Linked DNA regions of Arabidopsis thaliana. The protein of the gene in region 2 interacts with the protein of the main gene of each other region in a biochemical or structural test. Each region holds a gene or a part of one and is shown on either strand. Other genes may lie near its edges.

Region 1 (4,124 bases), on a different chromosome or scaffold from region 2:
GAGACTTTGAGGAGGGTAACGCCGGCGTCGGAGAGAGATTTCAGCTTATCGGAGAGAGTGGTGTTTCTGATGAGAGCGAAAGTCGGGTGACCCGATTCGATGCTGAAACGGGTCAAATAGTTCCCTAATCTTCCTGTTGCTCCGATGATCAAAACTCTGCTCTTCTTCTTCTCCTCCTCCATTTATATATACTCTCCGTATAGAGAATTAGGATAGTTTAGTTCCAATGGGTTGGTCATAGGTTTTAATCTCTGACTCAGTTCTCTTACATTGTCGTCGTTTTGTCCGCCACGCTTAACAGGTGTTGTTTATTCAATTGCTTTAAATTTGGGATTAGTCCCGCTTTTTCAAAGTAACCAAAACATAGATTAGAAGATTGTTAGTGATAAGATGTAAAACATAACGTTAAACGACTGGTGTCTTGTTTCTTGATTTCATGGTCGCATGACTTGTGGCATTGTATACTAAAAAAAAAAATACTAATGGATGATCATTCACCACAAGAAGATGAGAACACACCTTGAATTAAAGACACAAGTCCACCGATAAGAAATATATTACTGGACTGGTTTGCAAATTATACACAATAATGTCTACACTCTTTGATACATCAACTAATGGGCGGGGGATCTCAAGTCAATAATCTAGTGGAATTAGTAAATAACAGCTACTGGTTTGCTCTCTCTTCCGATGAATAATTTGAATTAGGGAACATTGTTATGTTGTGGATTGGTTTCTTAATCAAACTCCTAAATTGCCATAGAGATTCTGCACATGAGAGTCCCACATCGAAGGAGCTTCGCCATTCTGTAACAATCAAAACATATTTAGTAAAAAATTATCATATCCAAAGTTAAACTAAAGGATAGATCATAATGAAAGAGTATTAAAAATATGACTTACGTTGAAGCATGACAATGGATCAGAACTGGTATTCACTTGCTGCATTGGATTGACATGAAGGTAACCGGAGTTAACCATCTCACTAGAATAACCAGAGTGAACCATCTCATGAGAATAACCGGAAAGAACCATTTCAGGAGATGGCACCACAGTCATTGGAGTTGAGGCAACCTGGTTTTGAATCCACATGGCGTATTTTAGCTCATCTATAAATAGCCTTTAAAGTTTTGTTTTTCATATAAGCATAAACAAATCAATGACTAACCTCTTTGGCAAAAATGTCATCCATATCAAAATCCGGCCTTGGATTCACAATTGCTAGTTTCATCGATAAGAACTGTTTTAAACAATATTTTGATAACAAATTAGGAAGGTAATGCAAAATTAGTCTTTAAAACATATTTTCTATAAATGGAAATAATTTTCAGACCTCGATTTGTCTCTGAAGAGACTGAACATAGTTAATGATTTCATCAAGCATCCCTGCTTTGCCTGTGATCTTGTCGCATCCAGGAACCAAATCTTGTAGAAACTTCATTCTCTCACTGATCTTTTCTCTTCTAACCTTCACAAATTTAATACTTTAATAATTAGTCTCAATGATTACACAAAAAACAAAGTTAATGAATTTTAGTTAATGAGGCTCTCTTACTCGTTCTGCTATGCTGTGACTATCAGTGGCTTGGCCTCGTCGTGCACGAACATGAATATAATCCGTTTTCTCCAATTCCTTCGTCACTTTAGATGAATCATTAGAGAAATTGTTCTCTTCTTTCTTGGCTTTGTGTTTCATCTTCTTGATGCTTTTTGTGCTCCCATTGTTTTGCTCTGTTATTTTCGACTTCTCTTCTTCTCCTTCTTCTACTAGGTCATCTCTGTTCATCGTCATCTTCTTCTTCTTCTCATTACAATCCTAAAAGCACACACAGAAGAAACAGATAAGCCAAATCTCAAAGTAAGATCTGTTTTCTTTTTCATTTATAGAACTTAAACTTAAGTTTTCTTTACACACGAACCTTAGTCTCTGTATCAAACTTCCGTTTCTTGAAATTTCCAGTCCCAAGCGTCGTTTCCGGCGAAATTGAGAGTCTTGAATCACCTTCCACCGTCGTCTCACCGTACATCATCGGAAGATTCAAACCGGCAGTCGAAAGATAGCTGTCCATCTCGCCGCCGGTAATCATTGAAGAATCGGCAAAGAAGCCGGCGAGAGGAGAATCAAAGGTGGGATTGAGGTACTTGAGGTGAGCCCTTTGGCGCTCTAGGACCGACATGTCAGGAAAATTGAGCAAAAGGTCACCTCCTATAGCTCCATTCATCGTTATCGTCTTCTTTGGATTCAGAAAACAAGTTGCTTGCAACGAGAGAGAGAGAGAGTGGAGAAAGAAACAGAGTAAAGGTGAGGGTAGAAGAGGAAACGATATTTATAACAAAAACCATCAGCTCTGTACTTAGTCCATATTCATCGCATCTAATAAGGTAGGCCCATATACAAATCTGGAAACTTTATATGTTTTGTGATAATTGATATTTGCGATGATTGAAAATTGAGAAAATAACTAAAAATAGTGAGTGACACAGAAAACTTATAAAACATTTATTACGTAATATATGCATGTATTATAGTGTAAATTGGATCTTGATTCACTAAGAAAGGATAAGCTTGGGATGTCTATGCGAATTGGAGCGTCTCTTCTTTAGGTTTCTTTCATTATAGGAGCACGTGAATGGTCACGTGGGAATGGTCTAGTTGTAACACAATGAAAAATAATTTTGTAGTTTACAAGCTAGTTATGATTATATGAATCAGATTGGTGTGTGCGCTAGATATTTCACCTAATTAAAATGGGGTTACAAAGAAAACACTTTACCTCATTTCAATAGCTCTGGTCTTAGTTTAGCTACGAAGCACTGTTCACATGAATTTATTACATCCTTCGGAATCTTGTTATTCAGATCGATCATCATCATGTGTCTGATCGCCATGCTGTATACATTGGCTTACTCTATCGTGATAGGCTAATACTGAGACGGCGCAAGAGAGGCTGCCACGTGATCGCCATGCTCTTTTTCGATGCAGAAGGCCCATCACATGAATTACTCACAAGTTAGTTTTAGTCTTAGATCACTTTCACCGATTTCGGTGAGCAAATATTTCGAAGAAAAGGACCTTCCATTAAAGTATATATGACATTGTTTTAGATTCTCAAATATTTTCATTTATCCGACTTTTTATGTTATTGGAAAACGCTTTATGTGATTGATATAGGGACATGAAATCTTCTCGATTCTATAATGAAAACCCAACTCTCTTTTATTTTGCTTAGTCCAGTTATATATTAACCTTTAAAGCAGATACATGGAGTTAGTAGATAAGGAAAGGGGAGGGTGTAAAGTTGTTAGAAACAAAGACATGGTCGTTGCCTTTTGATGTGATGAATTTGGACTAAGTCCATAGAAGATGATGATCAGCTATTTCCCTCCCTATCATACTATACATGCATACACTAAAAAAAGTAAAGCCACACACCTAATTTGTGGGTTCCCCATCACCTTGTACATATATGTTCATAAATTCATGTCGACATGTATGTAGATGTTGACATTTGATTCGGTGTGTTGTATTGGAGATAGTTATATTATTTATACAAAAGTATTTAAATACATCTATCCAATTTCTTTCCTTAAACTGGAGAATTGATCTGTGCACGTATATTTATCTATGTTTAATTAAGTGTTGTTACTAACTTACTAAAAGATATCTATATCAATTTGTATATGGGAGAGTTCTTAATTAGAATTAGAAATTGCTGTAAAAAAAATTAGAATTAGAAACATATCATCGACGTAGAAATTTCTGATGGAACAATAATGAGGGGAGATCCAATGGTCATGACTCATGAATCATGATCACATGATGGGAGCCTAATTCCTATATGATGGGTTATTCTCGATATATGCATGGGAATTAGACGTATAAATAAGAGGACTTTTTTTTTTTTTTTTTTTTTGGGTTTTAAAATAAAGAAGAGTTGTGAATTTTATAAACTTTCATATAACTTGCATGTATTTTAAAGGTATACAACTTTCCTAAGAAGTCTTTTTCGTCAAAAGAAGAATTGTTTTTTTTTCTTAACATCCAAGAAGTATTTATATTTTTTATGGTTACTAGTTATTGTTATAAAAATGATTTAATGATAAATGAGTTATTGTTATATAAA
Region 2 (5,331 bases):
GTACAGTAAAACCTTTATAAATTAATATTCGATAAATTAATCATTTTTATAAAATAATAAATTCTTTCAGTATTTGGGACTAGTGTAAAAAGCGATACAAATCGATAAATTAATAAAATATTTTTTTTTTGAAAATCCTATGTAAACATATAGTCCCATCAATATCATAAATTAATAATTGTATTAAAATATCAGCTATATATATATATAAGAAATTTCAATGAAATATAATTCTAGTATCGTTTATTTTTGTAATTTAATTTAATATTTTTATTATATCAAAAAAATTCTTGTTGTTTTCAAGATATGATAATTATTTGTAATTGATTATAAAAAAATATTTTAATCATCAAAAAAAATCTTATATTTTTATAGAAATTAAAAAAATCTTACCGTAGTATTCAGTCATTTAGTTACTATTTTTCATTGGGGTTTTTAGACCAATGATTTGTTACTTTTATTTCCAACTGCATTTGTTTCATATAAAAACGTCGTGTATCGAGATTTCCTTTCTTTTCTTTATAAAGAAATATAAATTGGCCGTTATCTTTTTCCTCAAACTAAACAACTCAGATGAAACAAATTCAAAGACTAAACAAATATGTATATTTTATTCATAGCCAATTGAAATAATATCAGCATTATATGTTTATGCAATCATATCCTTTTGAGTATAACCAAAAGGAAACAAAGAGTTAAAAGACACATTCACACATCTACATGTTAGGCTTTATAACAGCACATTATTTTGATCATTTGCAACCATTTTTTCCCAAACTTGTAGTAATCTGATCAGATGAATCTTGAATACCTTCCAGATTCTTCCCTTCTGATGCCAACGAGCAAGACTGCGAAACGAAAAACACACTCGAAGAAGAAGAAGATTCAGCAGTCGAAAACAACTCCCTTTCATCGAATCCCCTAGATTTCTTCATGTCTCTCTCTTCTTCTTCCTCAGGTTTCACTCTCTTTGACCCGTTGTAACGAACAGCCGAAGGTACTTGTTGGTCATTAGAAGACACAGATGGGCAAAGACCAGGTTCTTTAATGGTATTAGCCCCTAAGGCCTCGAAGCTATCTGCTACAATCTCATCAGGTGCTGCTCCGATCATGATCTGTGCTTCACGGGTTCTTGAAATAGCTTTAGCTAGTAGCTCACGAGCTGTGTCGATGTCTACAATGGGTTTCGCATAGTTTGTTCCGAGTTCCACACCAGAAGCTTTGAGTACGGTTAAAGGAGCGTCCCATGGATGATGGATCCATTCAGTTGGCAATCTCGCAAGCTCGGGAAGCCATTGCCTTATGTACTCACCTTCTGGGTCATATTTGGCGCCTTGTAACTGAAATAAAAACAGAGTTTTCATAGACTTCAGAACTAAATCAACCAAACCAAATAAGCTGAAAAATAAAATAAAAAACGAATGCATAGCAAAAACTGGTATTAAGCTTTGAATTCTAAACTATAAGACAAGTTTTGTAGTTTACCGCGGGATTGTCCAAGCGATCAAGCTCGTGGCCATCGGGGATACTCCCAGAGATATACTGCCAGCCAAGGATGTCACATTCCAAATCAGCATCCAAAAGTGTATCCCAGAAATACTTCATTCCCCATTTCCATGGAAGGAGAAGAAACTTCACAGCAAAGCTTGAAACAATCACTCTTATTCTGTTATGCATCCATCCGGTAGCCCAAAGCTCTCTCATTCCGGCATCCACCAACGGATAACCGGTCCTGCCTTGTCTCCAGGCCTTGAACTTATCAACATCAGCATCCCAAGGGAAAAACCGAAGATGACTCAACAACGATTGCTCGTGAGTAAACGGGAAGTTGAAACATATATACCGAGAATACTCTCTTAAACCGATTCCCCTAAGAAAAAGATCTGCACTTTCTTCTCCTTCACTGTTCTTATCTCTTGCCCATATAATTTGTTTCATCCGGGCACACTGGAAAACGTGTCTGACGCTTATTTCCCCGAAATGGAGATACGGAGAAAGTAGTGAAGTAGAATTCCCAACAACTTTCTTGCTGTTCTTTGCATAATCTATCAACTGCTTCTCGATGAACTCATTTAGTAACTTATCAGCATTGCTCCATCCTGGAGACCAAGCTCTAGTTAACAACGCATTGCTCGGTTTCTCGGCCTCATTCTCCAGCCCTAGTTCTTCAATCGAACACGCCCAAATCGCTTCAGCCGCTAACAAAGAAAAAGCCATAAACTTTTACTACCGCTTATGTCCTGAAGAAATCAAAAACGTTTTAGCTTTTAAGTAATACTCTTTAAGGTTTTACCTGCAGTTATTGGCATCAACCGCCAAGGAGGAGGAAGCATAACGGATTCAATCGACATATCTAAGCATTTCTTCCAGTAAGAATTGAAACTCGTAAAAGGTTTGCCCTTTTCGCAGTATATCTCCCACGGTTCATACAATAGATCTCCATTGTAGCTTTGCACAGAGATCCCACGTTCCACCAGCTTCTCCTTTACGGTATGGTCCCGAACTAACGAAACAGGATCTACAACAAAGAAAAACGTGATCGCATCAACCTCAGTTGCACTTAGACTACACTAACTTAATAAGAATATATATCCTTTGAATAAGAGATGAAAGAGTATATACCATAGAGGTGGTTAAAGACGACTTTTGTAGCACCGGTAACGCGGATACAATCCAAGATCGCTGAAATCGTGTTGTGGGTTTTGATTAAAGTGAGGTCAGATCCAAGAGCCTTCAAGGATTGAGATAAGTGAGCAAGTGATTGTTTCATCCACCATCTTGAAGCTCTTCCAGGATAAAACTGTCCTTCTTCTTCAGGACACCAAATGAAGACAGGAAAAACAGATCCTTCGTGAGCAGCTGCTGCTAATGCAGGATTATCCTCAATCCTTAGGTCTCTTCTAAACCAAACTATAGTCTTTTTGTCCATCTTCATAGTTATTATGATCACAGATGAATCAAAGATCAAATCAGCTAAAATTCCACACTCTAACCAAGTTGTTCCATGATTTCAGACCTCAACCTCCTCCAGAGAATAGTTCTATAACAATAACAGAGAATGATTGATAAGAAATCTGTAATCTTTGAGTCCTAAAATCCAAAATAATCTACAAAAAAACATAACAGAGAGAGATTCGATTTAATCCTAATCCTTTTAAACAGAGCAAGCAAGAGAAATTCAATTGAGAGAAACAAAAATCAAAAGCTGGAAACTTTTTACCAGAACTCAAATCAGAGTGGATATCTCTCGGCGACAAAGATCTTCGAATCAAAGACTGTGAAAGTTATTTTAGTGACTTGACTCTTCTTTCTTCCTATTTTGGGTATGCAAAGTTAAAGATTTGAGATCTAACGGAGACCAAAAACAATACCCATATGAGAGTATGAATGTTAATAATTGTGCAATATAATAATCACAACGAGACAAAAGTAGACAACTTTATCCACAACTAGTGGCGTGTGTTCTTATAATAGCGTTTTTTTTACCGACATCTCATCTTTGATTTGCTCATCTACGATTTTATCGGGATCATGTACGAACTTTCTCTTGTGAGATATTTTTTTATAAGAGATCGAATTTTGTTTGAATGTTGAGTGGGCCTAAAGCGCAGTGAAGATACTCTTATCTTCTTATGCTAGAGAAAAAAGTTTTTTAACGTTGGGGCCGAGGACGGTGGTTCATGAACTCGATTCTGGTCATGCCCACTTTTGTAGAATCCATTAAATATCTAAAGTCTATATGGCTTAAAGGTGAGAACTTGATTCTCATTAGTCATTACCAAGTAGAATCTATAATCAAAATCCACTGCTTTTACTTTACAAAAGGAAAAAGGTAAAGATAAAAAAGTTCTCTCAAACTTTGAATCCTCGTATACCCCTTATTAATGGACCATTGCCTACGGTTTATGATTCGATTTCGGATAGTCGTAAAATAGAAGCAATCTAAGTTTTTTGGATGTATATTTTGGTGTCAACTTGGTGTTTGGTTATAAAATATTTGGGTGAAGAAAAATAGAAGTAAAATTAAAATAATCCACATTAGAATTTCAGTTTAATCTAGTGATTTGGTTTTGGTATGAATCTGCAAGAGTAGCATTTCTTTTTGCAATTGCAACACAATAACACCATTCCTCACAAATCACAATTGCACAAACCCATTATCGAAGAGCTCATCAATTTTGGGCTAATTGCTAAAGCAGAAAAAAATAATCGCAAAAGATAACCATGCAACTGCCAATTTTCTTCTTTTCATGGGTAAACCAAATCAGACACATTGAAAAAAACGATATCCTGGTTTAGAAACAGACCAGGGACAATACTCATCAAAGAGACCAAAGAGGTTATAAAACAGTGTTTGGAGATCTTTCAAACACACTTCTTATTCGGACAAAGCCCTGAAAGGCTTTAACTGATCTCACACCTTATAGATGAAAATTTTGCTCCAGAAGGGTTTAAGAGAGGCATGAGTACGCCAAGTCCTTCTCTTCCTTGAGCTCCTCTGCAGTCAAATCCATCTTCTTCCTTGATACTTCATCAATCGGAAGGCCTAACCAAACAAAATACACATTAGGGTCTGCAGAATCTAGGATTTCATAATTGATGAGCATTTGAGTTTGTAAGTGCGTCATATTTACCTTGGACAATACTCCAGTCTCCATTGCGACAAGTTACAGGGAAGGAGTAGATAAGTCCTGATGGAACGCTGTAAGAGCCATCGGAGTATACTCCCATGGAAACGAACGTACCCTGACAATTTGAATCAAAGAAAGAACTCATATTAGATTAACTGTTACAAAAAAACAGCACTGCAAATAACGGGGAAGAGTTTTATTATGAACCTCTGGAGTTCCAAGGACCCAGTCACGGATGTGGTCACAAGCAGAGCTAGCAGCAGAGAGCGCACTAGACAACTTCCTCGCCTTGATGATTGCAGCTCCACGTTGTTGAACTGTAGAGATAAATTCTCCGTCCAACCTACAGAATGAGCAATATATTTAAGTGAAACTAGATTTTGCTTCCAGAGAAGAGAAAGGGTCTTAAGTTCTATGGCATGTTATACATACCATGCATCGTCCTTGACGAGCTCACGGACAGGCTTCTCTCCAGACGAGGTCTGCACTTTAGCATGGTTGACATCTGGGTACTGTGAGGATGAGTGGTTTCCCCAGATGATCACGTTCTTAACATCAGACACTGGCACGCTCAACCTCTCAGAGATCTGTCCCAAAGCCCTGTTGTGGTCAAGCCTTGTCAAACAAGAGATGTTCTTTTCAGGGATTGATGGTGCAAATTCCTTGAGGATCAATGCGTTGGTGTTTGCCGGGTTGGCCA

Evidence for each region. Proteins that work in one complex are often made in the same cells at the same time.
Region 1: the proteins of CRY2 (region 2) and CIB1 form a complex in vitro, tested with the Arabidopsis thaliana proteins (one study listed by BioGRID).

What each region holds. Positions count from the first base shown.
Region 1 is NC_003075.7:16,496,564-16,500,687, reverse strand, and holds CIB1 (cryptochrome-interacting basic-helix-loop-helix 1), read right to left. Parts: upstream 2,298-4,124; 5' UTR 2,223-2,297; coding exon 1,920-2,222; intron 1,817-1,919; coding exon 1,556-1,816; intron 1,469-1,555; coding exon 1,334-1,468; intron 1,241-1,333; coding exon 1,169-1,240; intron 1,075-1,168; coding exon 904-1,074; intron 808-903; coding exon 742-807; 3' UTR 514-741; downstream 1-513. Other genes in the region: AT4G34540 (NmrA-like negative transcriptional regulator family protein), read right to left, coding at 6-182. UniProt on the Arabidopsis thaliana protein: Transcription factor that binds DNA to G box 5'-CACGTG-3' and, to a lower extent, to E-box 5'-CANNTG-3' in vitro. Binds to chromatin DNA of the FT gene and promotes its expression, and thus triggers flowering in response to blue light.
Region 2 is NC_003070.9:1,184,967-1,190,297, forward strand, and holds CRY2 (cryptochrome 2), read right to left. Parts: upstream 3,731-5,331; 5' UTR 3,221-3,730; intron 3,108-3,220; exon of another isoform or gene 3,041-3,107; 5' UTR 2,936-3,040; coding exon 2,623-2,935; intron 2,519-2,622; coding exon 2,294-2,518; intron 2,199-2,293; coding exon 1,486-2,198; intron 1,341-1,485; coding exon 753-1,340; 3' UTR 546-752; downstream 1-545. Other genes in the region: c-NAD-MDH1 (Lactate/malate dehydrogenase family protein), read right to left, coding at 4,452-4,546, 4,635-4,746, 4,839-4,974, 5,064-5,331.